2 linked regions of the Drosophila melanogaster genome follow. Changing the gene in region 1 together with any one later gene gives a genetic interaction. Each region holds a gene or a part of one and is shown in the gene's direction. Other genes may lie near its edges. The genes, in order: CG4793 and hop.

Region 1 (5,266 bases):
AATTTCATTGAAAGTGATTCGCATTTGTTGACAAATATTCCAAATAAATGTGTAGACAAGTGACTGGAGACGAACGTCTTAACCCACCTTATTCAGCTTTGCTAGGCGAACAATTCCATCACTGGGCAGTCACAGGAGCCCAATCTGCGTTTCGCCGCCCTTGCGCCCTGAAATAAACAATATTTTCGCACATTTACCCAAAGCACCTACTTCCACTTAGCAACCTTTCGCCGAAGGAGCGCTGCTTTTACACCATTTGGTCCATTCGAAGAGGAAGGGGAAAAGGGGACCCTTGAGCAAACCACTTGATGACGAAGACATTTTGCCAGCTAAAAAATCGTATTTACAACATAATTTACACTCAAAGTGAGCATGGTGAGGAGGTCGGCGAAAAGCCAGGCTGTGATGAAGAGCGGGCGAAAAGGGTGAACTTGGAGCCGTGTGGCCCATTCAAAGTGCCACCACTCAAGTGCCACTTTGCCTTACTTATGCCTGACCAGGATCCGTCTGAAAAATGGGACAATTTCATGCCCTTTAATGGCAAACTTTTAGTGGTCAATGCAATGGCTGCCGCACAACATCATCAAGATGCGGGAATTACCAGAACCGCCGTAAAGAAATGGCAAACTGGAATGAAGCTCCGGTCCTTACGTTAAATTATGTAAAAATATAATTCTCCTTAAAAAAGAACGAGAAAAGCATTTGGTAGCTGGTGTATGGGAAAATGACGGAAAAGGTGAAAATTGTATTACACGAAATCAAGTCGAGTTCTGCACTCGCTGATGCTTTCCGCTTGCCGCCCTTTGATGTCGTTGCGCGAAAATTGAATAAAAATAATTTGTAATGCGTTTGCACTGCGGCAGATGGCTGGTGAGTTTGTGGTTGAGCGCTGAATGAAATGGAAATTACGGGAAATTTTGTAAATTAATGAGATGTTAAGGGGGCGAACCAGCTTGACGTAATTAATGAAGAGAATGCGACCCAGAAAACCAATATATGGTAACGTATATAAATGCCCCCAAATTGGTGTTATTAGAGGTTGGCTGTAATGTTCAATGTACTTAAAGAATGAATTCATGATTTTTCTTATTTTTTGCATGCTTTTAAGTATTTGTTGTATGCGTTACCAGAGTCAAATAAATATAATATATATAAGAATATAAATATAAGCAATGAAAAGACCTAGCTTTCGTATATATGATTAAATTTACTGTTCTTGGTATGCATAAGTGCTTTAATGCACTATAAGAATAAGTAAAAATACCCGACATGCTTCATCTTAATTCGTTATCGGTGGCAAGAATTTCGAAGAAGCCTTATCAAATCAGAATTTAAACATGAGAGAATGTTATAGTCGAGTGCTTCGACAATGAGATACCTGTTACTCAGCTGATAAATTTAATAAATAAATAAATATAAACGGATATTTTCAAAAGATGTGGGAGCAGCAGTTTGGGCGGTTTTTGGGCTTGAGAGTGGGCGTGGCAAAAAGTAGTTAGGATTATCGATATCAAAAAAAAAAAAACATTTTTCAAAAGTGTGAGCGAGGCCCTTTGGTCGGCTTATGGGCGTTAGAGTGGGCGTGGAAACATTGGAACGGGCGGACAGACGGACATGGCCAGTTCGACTCGGCATTGATCCTGATCATACTCTATAAAGTCGAAAACGTTTCATTCTGCCTGTTAGATACTTTTCAGCGAATCTAGTATACCCTCTTACTATACGAGTAACGGGTATACAAATTGAATTAATGTTCGCTGGCGATACAATATGTTGACCGCTTATTCGCAAACGACAGTGTATTAAATTCAAGCGTTTAGAATGGATCGCCTTTCCATTCTGCTCTTGGTTCTTGGATTCTCCCGGATCCAGGCTCTTTTCTGTGGTGGGTCAATGGCGAAAGAGTGCGTACAGCGAAACCGTTGCCGTATTGGTACCGAAACGGGAAGACCAATCATAGATTTTAGAGGACTTAATAACGGTAATCAGGGATGTGAATCTGGCCAAACCTGCTGCCCGAAAACGGAAATAGTAATGCTAATCGAGAGCTATCACTTGAATGTTCTTTTTTGACAGCCCATTGTCTTTGCAGTTACAATATCCAGTACAGGCTGACAATCAACCGCTACCTACTGAATGTGGCCACGTGAACCGTATAGGAGTGGGCTTCACCATAACTAACGCGAGAGACATCGCACAGAAAGGCGAACTGCCATGGATGGTGGCCCTGCTCGATTCCAGAAGCCGTCTACCGTTAGGCGGCGGCTCCCTAATTACGCGGGATGTGGTGCTTACATCATCTACGAAAACTTTGGAAGTTCCTGAGAAATATCTTATTGTGAGGGCTGGCGAATGGGACTTTGAAAGCATCACCGAGGAGCGAGCACATGAGGACGTTGCGATCAGGAAGATCGTACGACATACCAATCTCAGTGTCGAAAATGGTGCCAATAATGCGGCCCTTCTGTTCCTCGCTAGACCGCTAAAACTAGACCATCACATAGGTCTCATTTGTTTGCCGCCGCCGAATCGAAACTTTATCCATAATCGCTGCATCGTCAGTGGCTGGGGCAAAAAAACAGCCTTGGACAACAGTTACATGAATATCCTGAAAAAGATCGAGTTGCCATTGGTGGACAGATCTGTGTGTCAAACGAAACTGCAAGGACCCTACGGCAAAGACTTCATTCTCGATAACAGCCTAATATGTGCCGGCGGAGAACCTGGCAAGGATACGTGCAAAGGCGATGGAGGTGCCCCACTTGCCTGCCCACTGCAAAGCGATCCTAACCGGTACGAACTGTTGGGAATCGTAAACTTTGGATTCGGATGTGGAGGGCCACTTCCTGCTGCCTACACTGATGTTTCCCAAATTCGAAGCTGGATTGATAATTGTATCCAAGCGGAAGCAGTCCACTATTCTCCTCAGTTGGGAAATGTAGGCCAATCACCTGCTCCACTCGATCGCTATATACCAAATATAGGCCTAGAAACTCAAAATGAAGTCCACAGCCCGGTTCAAGGATCTCTCCATAATGTCGTATATCAAACTGGTGGTGTTGGATATATTCGAGGTATGGGCCAAGGAACTGCTTTCCAAGGACCAGTTCAAGTTGGAGAACTTATTCCGAACGAAGGCACCGTATCTGGCGGACTTGTATATGATTCAAATGAAATCCAAAAATTTAATCAAGGTGGAATATACATTCCACATGTAGGCCAAGGAAATAGTGACAATAGATATTATCCAAATCCGGAAATCGGAGCAGTTCCAGTCGGAAATCCTATTCCGAATGAAGGCAATGCATTTGGCGGTCGTGGATATGATTTTAATGAAATCCAAAAACATAATCAAGGTGGGAGATACATTCCACATGTAGGTCATGGAAATGGTCCCAATGCACCTAAAGAACCTCTTAAAATCGGAGGAAATATTCCAAATGTAGGCCAAGGAAACAGGGGTAATAGATATGATCTAAATCCTGAAATCGGAGCAGTTCCAGTCGGAAATCCTATTCCGAATGAAGGCAATGCATTTGGCGGTCGTGGATATGATTTAAATGAAATCCAAAAACATAATCAAGGTGGAAGATACATTCCACATGTAGGTCATGGAAATGGTCCCAATGCACCTAAAGAACTTCTTAAAATCGGAGGAAATATTCCAAATGTAGGCCAAGGAAACAGAGGGAATATATATGATCCAAATCCGGAAATCGGAGCAGTTCCAGTCGGAAATCCTATTCCGAATGAAGGCAATGCATTTGGCGGTCGTGGATATGATTTAAATGAAATCCAAAAACATAATCAAGGTGGAAGATACATTCCACATGTAGGTCATGGAAATGGTCCCAATGCACCTAAAGAACCTCTTAAAATCGGAGGAAATATTCCAAATGTAGGCCAAGGAAACAGAGGGAATATATATGATCCAAATCCGGAAATCGGAGCAGTTCCAGTCGGAAATCCTATTCCGAATGAAGGCAATGCATTTGGCGGTCGTGGATATGATTTAAATGAAATCCAAAAACATAATCAAGGTGGAAGATACATTCCACATGTAGGTCATGGAAATGGTCCCAATGCACCTAAAGAACCTCTTAAAATCGGAGGAAATATTCCAAATGTAGGCCAAGGAAACAGAGGGAATAGATATGATCCAAATCCGGAAATCGGAGCAGTTCCAGTCGGAAATCCTATTCCGAATGAAGGCAATGCATTTGGCGGTCGTGGATATGATTTAAATGAAATCCAAAAACATAATCAAGGTGGAAGATACATTCCACATGTAGGTCATGGAAATGGTCCCAATGCACCTAAAGAACCTCTTAAAATCGGAGGAAATATTCCAAATGTAGGCCAAGGAAACAGAGGTAATAGATATGATCTAAATCCTGAAATCGGACATGCCACATTTGGTGCAACCGGTACCGGAATGCAAGGAAATAATATAGATAATCCATATAAAAACAATCTTGGTGACAGAGCAGAAAATGAATTGGAAAGGTTTCCTCTTGAAAATCCCAATAGGGATCATGTTATCAGGCTTAGTGATTTTTTAATCACAACGCCCACTCCGAGTGCACCTATAAAATTGGTAATAGAAAAGATCTAACATAATTTCATAATTTTATTATAGAGCTAGTAATCTAAAACAATATTATTTCCATATTACAATTATAATTATATTTGTTCTCTTTTTACCTGTCTTTTAAATTGTGATTTTTTTTAATATTGAAAGCGGAGAAATATATATAACTTTTATAAGCTCCCTTCAGGTCAGACAATCTAATTTTTGGTTTAGTGGTAACCATCTGTATTTTTAGTTTTGACTTTGTTGCTTGCATTGCGCATTACAAATGTGCAAGTATATTATCCAGATTATTAGCTGATATCGAGTTAGGCCATCAGCAGCTGGACACACTATCATCCTATTGATTCTGTGGCCCACCCAAAATCCGGCTAATTGTGCTGGACTTTGGCTGGAGTTTATTACGAAGCAAGCTGGCCCCAAATTGCCACCCACCAAATACAACCAATTTCGCAGAAACAACGCACAAAAACTGGCCCAATATGGGGGCTTACTATAGTTACATGGCACTCAGAGGCGAACGTCGAATGGGGAACACATTGCGGCCCTATTGCTTTTAGCCAGAGTTCGTTTCTTGTTTATTTGTTTGTTTGACTGATTTGCTGTTGTTTATTTTGATTTCCGGCTCAAATGCCGAGTGGGCAGAGGCGGATCCTTGTCGATTTCTACATTGAT
Region 2 (7,868 bases), on another chromosome or scaffold:
ACAGAAACCGACACCGACTGTATATTTTGCTATGTATATTATACACGGACACACACTCACTGGCAAAAAGGACATGCGTTTGGCACAGCCTTCGGGCATTTTATGTTTAATATAAATAAGTAGCGGCAGCACGTTGGAGAATATATATTACGGTTTTCTGCTCTGCTCACGGGAACACTAGTTCTAGTTGGGATCAGTGTGACCAGAGGCGCGCTGCGTGTGCAGCCCAATCAGAAGTCCTGGGCAAACGTTCAAAGCGAGCGCGGGAAATAGGTCCGCAAGCATTGCAAGTATTACCTTTGGATTTAGCAGAAATGCATTAATATTACATTTAGTATTACATTTTATACAGGAAATGGCAGCTACATTTGTGTGTTCAAAGTTGCGTAAATATGAATTCCAATTGGAAAGTTGCCGATAGGTACTTATCGAGTGGAAGCACTATACTATCGATATGGAATAACTTTATTTATTCTAATAAACATTTAAGGAACACCTACTATTTCATTCTAAGCCCCTTTCCAGCCTAATTAAATTTAAATGTATGTTGAAATGATCCAATTTCAATTCTATTTTCCTTTCTGCATAATATTAAGCCATCTATCAACAATATTTCATCATTATAAAAGAAGAGATTAAAACTATCCAAGCAAAGGATTACAACACAATGCATTTTAAACGTACGAAACGAAAGATGTATTTATTTTCGGTACGCTAACGTAGGGCCGACCAAACAATTGAGTTGCGCTACCGAATTAAATATTAATTCCGGAACTCGAATCACGGATTTCAATTTCGGGCTGGGTGCAGACTACGGGCCACATACTTTGGATGTCGGCGGCGAAACGCAGCGCGGAAAAAAATGTGCTTACATGATAATTTTTTGTTTAAAAATAGATTTAACAGTAGGACAGTGACGGAAGCGTCCACGGACTCGGATACCCAGATCCCGGTGTCGGTGTCGATTAAGCGAACAAATCTACAGGTCGCCGCCACCTCGCTTTTGGAGCATCTGAGCGAACCGCTGGGTGATAAGCAGCGACGTGTCGATGAATCGGTCGACGCAGTTGCTCAGGCACGTCTCGGTGGCGTGGTCCAGCTTGGTACTCGGCTTGCCGATGCACTTCTCCCAGCAGATCTCGTTGAACTCGTGTATCTGGCGACGATATAATGTGCGAGGGCATATTGTTATGATTACGAATGGTTATTATGTGTATGGGGGAACCCGGCTCACCTGCGCGTTGACCTGTGCCTTCTGTTTCTCAATCAAGAGGAACTCCTGCAGCTCCTTGTCATTGCCGGAAAGGTTCTCAAAATCGGACATCGTGTGATTTTCAGTGAGCAATCTACAAATTGACCGGGCTCGTCCGGAATTTCATATATTCTAAGGTTTGAGGTTATATAAACGACACTGACAGCTGTGAACTGTGGAATTACAAAAATCGATGTGTATTCGATAGCAAAGCTATTCGATACTGGAAATGCCGTGCATATTGCACTGTTTGCACTGTTGTCATATTTAAATGGCAAGAATATAGACGCCATAGAGCAAATAACAGTATATTTTTTTTTCTTAAGCATCCTCCTCCTGCCAACGAGGGTATACAATTTTCAAGAATACATTTCTAAAGTAAGTTGTTATTTATATTTACTGAGAACTATCGAAAAAGAACTAGAACCTCGCGTTGCCAACCACTGGTTCGCAAGGTGCGATAGTACAGGTTATTGGACAATCGATGACAAAGTGGCTCGGCCGTCGGCCAATCGATATCGTGAGGTGCAAATTGTCCGATGAATTTCACTGAAATTCGTGGCTTGTATTGTAGCTTCGCAATTGCAGCTTCGTTTCGACAGCAGGCCCACTTTCAGATCGAAGGCGTCTATAATCGCCATCCAGTCCCGTCGCCCTGTTCCCACAACGCCCCACAAATTTCGGGATCTAGCTGGCGTTTCGGGTGTCTAATTTCGGACCAGTGCACTGTGATTTCCGATTTCCAGTTTACTTTGCTGACGGATCGCCCAAGTGGCGAAGTGGTTCTTGCTCGGAAAGTTGGCGCTTGCTAAAAGAAGGAGCAGTCCAGGTGGTTCCCCGCCAGTGGCATCAATGGAACTCGCGCTGGAGTTTGGGGCAACCTTGCAACTGCAAGGGTAAGAGCATCGCCGATTCCAGGAGCATTCGCAGTAAGCCCAAAAATAGCAACTCAAGTCAGTCGCGGTGGTCATTGTTATTGGCAAGAAGAAGAGGAAACGGATAGAACGCGGCAAATTCCTAGGAAAGCTCCCATGATCTAGCTTCAGTGCGGCCGCGTAAGGAAACTGCTCCAGCCAAGGAACTGGGCTTGCAGGAGCAGCAGATAGCACCCAGCCCACAAGGGACCACTCACCGACAATCCTCTCATGGCCCTGGCCAACGGGGGAGAGGATAGAATGGACGACAGCAGCAGCGGACGCACTTCGCTGGCGGACAGCGCCAGCCTGACGAACTCCTCGCTGCGCAGCGGCACCTCCTCGCAGAGCATCCACACCAACGATGGCACAATCCGTGTGTTCAACTTCACCACCGGCGAATTTGAGCGTTTCCATCCCAACATGCTGTGCGAGGAGATCTGCAATACGATGTGCCGCCAGCTGGGCATTGCACCAATTGCCCAGCTGCTCTACGGAATACGGGAGCACTCGACATCGCGACGTCCCTCGCCGCTGGTGCGTTTGGATCTGACGTGGTGCCTGCCCGGCGAGCGACTCAACTGCCAGCTGGTCTATTGCTTTCGGATGCGTTTCCGTGTGCCCGAATTGGATAGCCAGCTGGAGTTGATCGATGGACGGAGCCACAAGTTCCTCTACCGCCAAATGCGCTACGATATGCGGACCGAGCAAATCCCGGAGATTCGCTATCCGGAGCACAAGGACAAATCAACGGGACTGGCCGTGATGGATATGCTAATCGACGATCAGGAACAGTCGGAGGATCAGCAGGCGATGCGCTCCATCGAGAAGCTTTACAAACTGTATTTGCCACCGAGCTTGTGGCGCGCCCACAGCTTCTTTGTGGGCTCCAAGATACGTGAGGTTTTCCGCAGTCTAAAAGCGAATTCGCTGAGTGTGGAGCGTTTGAAGTGGCACTATGTGCATCAGGTATCCCATTTGGCGCCCACCTATATGACCGAACAGTTCACCTGCACCGTTCAGTATCTGCCCAACGAGGAGGTGGCCCGCGGTAGCGGACCCATCGGCACCAGTCTGGCCCACTCGACGTCGACGCTGGCCAGTTCTGGATCGACCAACACTCTGTCCACGCTCACCACCAACACCAATTCCGTTGCACTCGGCGGCAGTGGCAAGAAGGCCAAACGACGTTCCACCAGCGGTGGAATCGATGTCTATGTGCGAGTCTTTCCACACGATTCCCTGGAGCCTGGACTCAAGGTGGCCAGGGTCACCTCCGAGGCCACACTCAAGGTACACACTATGTTTCCTTCTGAAATCTTATATGGTTTCTTGTGGTTTTCCCATCGAAATGCGCATTTTAATGCTGGCCATTTTAAATATGGAAATACCATTAATATTATAATATTTAAAAAACATTTTGATAGATTTCTCAATTTAATTAACGCGATTGTCTTGGTAATCAAGTTGCTTATCGCTGGCAAAGATTCTTGAAATATTCATACATACATACCATATGTAATTGCACTAGCATCCCATTGATAATCCTCATTTCCTCTGCAGTGGATCCTTGTTGGCGCCGTGGAAGGAATTTTTATGATCTCCAAAATCAACGACACCTCTGTGCGGCTGGAAATCGTTGGTCTGCCCAAGGGCTACGAGATGCAGTTTCAGACGGAGAAGGAGATGAAGTCCTTCATCTCCTACCTGGGTATCTACATCAGGTGAGTGGTTCACTTGTAATCGGTGAGCTTTAGATCCCAAAGAGTTCGCTTCCAACTAAATTTTAATCTTTTAAGCCGAACTTGCTTGGTCTTTTTTTCACCAGAATTTATAGGCATCTCATTGTAGTGTTCGTGTAACAATAATCAGTGCCCAATGTTCTTAATCAAACTACTCAATTGTTTTTTTTAACATCCATTGATTTAAAAAAAAAAACATCAAGTCATCAATTCCACGAACTCATTTAATAACATAATAATTCCACTTAAAAGTTAATGATTCCCACATAAATATGACATTTGATAACACGATTAAATACAGTGCTTGAAATGCTTGCTTTTTTGTTTAAAGAGTTTGTTAAAACCAAGTCCCTGTTTGTTTTGTAATCCAACACACAAAGTCGGTTTTCGTTATCAGGCTAAAATTAAAACAAGCAAGAAATTTAAAACTAAATGCTTTCAGAAGATTTCTTCAGTTAAATTGATTAAATAATTACGCACTAATCGGTTTTAAATGTTACATTGCTATTTATATCGCCTGCGTCAATGTGCAGTACTTCTCAATAACTCAATAAAGTTATATGTACGTAATTGAAACAATTGATTCCCAGCTATAGAATCACTTTTCAAATGCAATAATAATAATAATAATAATAATAATAACAATGCCAATGGACAGCAACAAATGTGCGCAACTTATAACTCGTATTTGCCATCCGTTTATTCCTTGCAGATTGTCGAGCAAATGGATGCAGGATCTGTGCCATTCGTACCGCACGCCCTCCCTGGAGGAGCTGAGCTCCCTCCACTGCCATGGTCCAATCGGCGGTGCCTACTCGCTGATGAAGCTGCACGAGAACGGTGACAAGTGCGGCAGCTATATTGTGCGTGAATGCGATCGAGAATACAACATATACTACATCGATATCAACACCAAAATGTGAGTACATGCGCGCCTTCACACAGTTATCAGTTACTTCCTCCTCGCTGGTTATCAGGCTTACAAACATTTCTGTATGCAATGCCACATGATACACAAAAATGCTGTGTGCGCTATGTGGCCAATTGTTTCGCTTACTGATGATTGCCTGTGTGTGTGTGTGATTGATGATGCCCAAATTAGATGTGATCGGTTTTATCTCATGCGAAAATCCCGCTCACCTTTGCAGCATGGCCAAGAAAACCGATCAGGAACGCTGCAAGACGGAGACATTTAGGATCGTGCGCAAGGACTCGCAATGGAAGCTAAGCTACAACAACGGCGAGCATGTACTAAACTCACTGCACGAAGTGGCGCACATCATTCAAGCGGATAGTCCCGATCGCTATCGCATACCCGCCTCCAAATATGACAAGCCGCCGCTGCTGCTACTGCTGCTGCCAAAGAACCTCAAGGCCAAAAAGACTGACCTCCAGCTGAGCGAGGCGGAGCTGCAGCGCCGCAATCCGCAGATCTTCAATCCCCGAACGGATCTGCAGTGGTATCCAGGTGGGTCATACTATATATTCTAATGCCTTGCTTCGTTCTAATCGCTCGTCTTTTGCGCAGATTCGATATCGCTTAGCGACGATGGCATGATGTTTACGATGCGCGGCGATTGGATCCAACAGAGTCCCGTCAAGGATGTGTCCGTGACGATGAAAATGCTAAAGAGCGATGGCAATTTCATGGAGTTCTTTCGCTTGGCACAGACCTGGAGCCTCATCCAGTCGCCGCAGTTCCTCAAGCTGTACGGCCTAACGCTCGCCGATCCGTACACAATGGTCATGGAGTATTCGCGGTATGGTCCGCTCAATAAGTTCCTGCACTCGATGCCCAATGTAACACTGCATTGTCTACTGGATCTGATGCATGGATTGGTGCGCGGCATGCACTATTTGGAGGACAACAAGATTATCCACAATTACATACGATGCAGTAATCTGTACGTGACCAAGTACGATCCGAATTCGTACGTGCTAGACGCGAAAATTAGCGATCCCGGCTATCCGCGTCCCTACCGAGAATCCGAGTGAGTAGCCGACAAATACAACTTAATCATCTTCTCGGTTGGGTCATACTCTTTGATAAAACAAAAAAAAAGCAAACAGCATTTTAAATAACATCATTCATTCTCCACTTTCAGCTCGCCATGGATACCTGTTAAGTATTATCGCAATTTGCAAGCAGCCAAAACGGATCAGTTTGCCCAGCTGTGGGCCTTCGCTACCACCATATACGAGATCTTCTCGCGCTGCAAGGAAGATCTGAGCACACTGCGCCAGGAGCAGCTACTCAGGCAGAAAAATCTCGATGGCAACATACTCAAGATGCTCGATCAGGACATCTGTCCGGCGCCGATATTCGAGACAATCATGGATGGATGGTCCGATGATGAGACCAAGCGCTTCAGTCACCACGACATTTTCTCGCGTCTCAACACGATCAAGGCGGAAATTCTGCCCAATTATATGCCGCCACCCGAGATCGCAACGAGTAAGTTGAGCAGACGAAAGCAGCGTTACGAGATTGGCATACATTTCATCTTCTATTTTTTTTTCCAGATGGAACTGGAGACGAGACCGTGATCGATAGAAGCGACATACCCTTTCTACCCTTTCCGCGTTCGAATATGTTGATGGTCATACCGCTGACCAGCGAATGTCGAGTGATCTACAACATGGAGAACATGATCGGGCGCGGTCATTATGGCACTGTCTACAAGGGTCATCTGGAGTTCAACGACAAGGATCAGCCGCGCGAGCAGGTTGCCATCAAGATGCTGAACACCATGCAGGTGTCGACCGATTTTCATCGCGAGATCGGCATCATGCGCACCCTCAGTCATCCGAACATAGTCAAGTTCAAGTATTGGGCTGAGAAGTCGCACTGCATCATTATGGAATATCTGCAATCTGGTTCCTTCGACATTTACCTGCGTTTCACGGCACCCAATCTCAATAATCCACGGCTCGTCAGCTTCGCTTTAGATATTGCAAATGTGAGTGGTTCGAATATGGCTTTAGAACGGAACAAGTTTTCCGGAAAAAAGAGGGAAAACTCAAAGAAAAATCTACAAATATTTTAAGGGTTTTTGCATCATAACTTGGCCAAAAGTGGTCAAATTTCGAAGGGAATGACTGTTTTTAAAAGCTTATGATCCCAATTAACAAATCCTATTTCTTTTTTTTTGAATTTGGTGGATTCAAAATTTTTCCATTTTTTTGAATTTTTTACAAGGGGTAACATCATCAAAATTTGCAAAAAATGGCAAAAAATTAAAAGTTCCCATTTTGAACCCCAATCGATTGGGAATTAAATTACGAGCCAAACGAGGTATAACAATCCATATTTGGGCTACTACTACCCAAGATGTGGCCAAAAAACTGCCCATTTTGGACAAAAAACCACAAAAAAGAACTTTGGTATAGAAAACTCATGTTTACGACTTTAGAAGAGATATTTCCTTTTGATCCAGTACTTAATCCAAATGCTTCTCGTCGCAGGGCATGAAATACTTGTCCGACATGGGACTCATCCACCGCGACCTGGCCGCCCGCAACATTTTGGTGGACCACAACGGCGATGGTGACTGCGTCAAAATCTCAGACTTCGGCCTGGCGCAATTCGCCAATTCCGATGGATATTACTATGCGAAAAGCAAGCGTGATATTCCCATTAGATGGTAAGAAAAAAAGAAGATGGATTGACGGTAGGCCACTATCGCAACTGAATATCTTTGCTTTCCATTGGTCAGGTACTCTCCGGAGGCCATCTCCACCTGCAGATTCTCATCGTATTCGGATGTTTGGAGCTATGGCGTGACGCTCTTCGAAATGTTTTCGCGCGGCGAGGAGCCCAATTTGGTGCCGATCCAGACATCGCAGGAGGATTTCCTCAATCGCCTTCAGAGCGGCGAACGGTGAGTTATCGTGAGATTTGGGTCCATCAACTTGTTGAGTAATTCGAGTAATTCGTTTGCTTACAGCTTAAATCGTCCG

Evidence for each region.
Region 2: of CG4793 (region 1) and hop, changing one suppresses a phenotype caused by changing the other (phenotypic suppression), as found in Drosophila melanogaster (one study listed by BioGRID).

The regions. Positions count from the first base shown.
Region 1 is NT_033779.5:15,921,589-15,926,854, forward strand, and holds CG4793 (uncharacterized protein), read left to right. Parts: upstream 1-1,806; 5' UTR 1,807-1,821; coding exon 1,822-2,031; intron 2,032-2,092; coding exon 2,093-4,615; 3' UTR 4,616-4,699; downstream 4,700-5,266.
Region 2 is NC_004354.4:11,361,992-11,369,859, reverse strand, and holds the start of hop (hopscotch), read left to right. Parts: upstream 1-1,761; 5' UTR 1,762-2,397; coding exon 2,398-3,459; intron 3,460-3,729; coding exon 3,730-3,890; intron 3,891-4,620; coding exon 4,621-4,827; intron 4,828-5,056; coding exon 5,057-5,376; intron 5,377-5,436; coding exon 5,437-5,899; intron 5,900-6,013; coding exon 6,014-6,363; intron 6,364-6,431; coding exon 6,432-6,868; intron 6,869-7,373; coding exon 7,374-7,552; intron 7,553-7,624; coding exon 7,625-7,789; intron 7,790-7,855; coding exon 7,856-7,868. Other genes in the region: Tim8, read right to left, coding at 980-1,156, 1,235-1,324. UniProt on the Drosophila melanogaster protein: Tyrosine kinase of the non-receptor type, phosphorylates the marelle protein. Required maternally for the establishment of the normal array of embryonic segments: involved in the control of pair-rule gene transcription in a stripe-specific manner.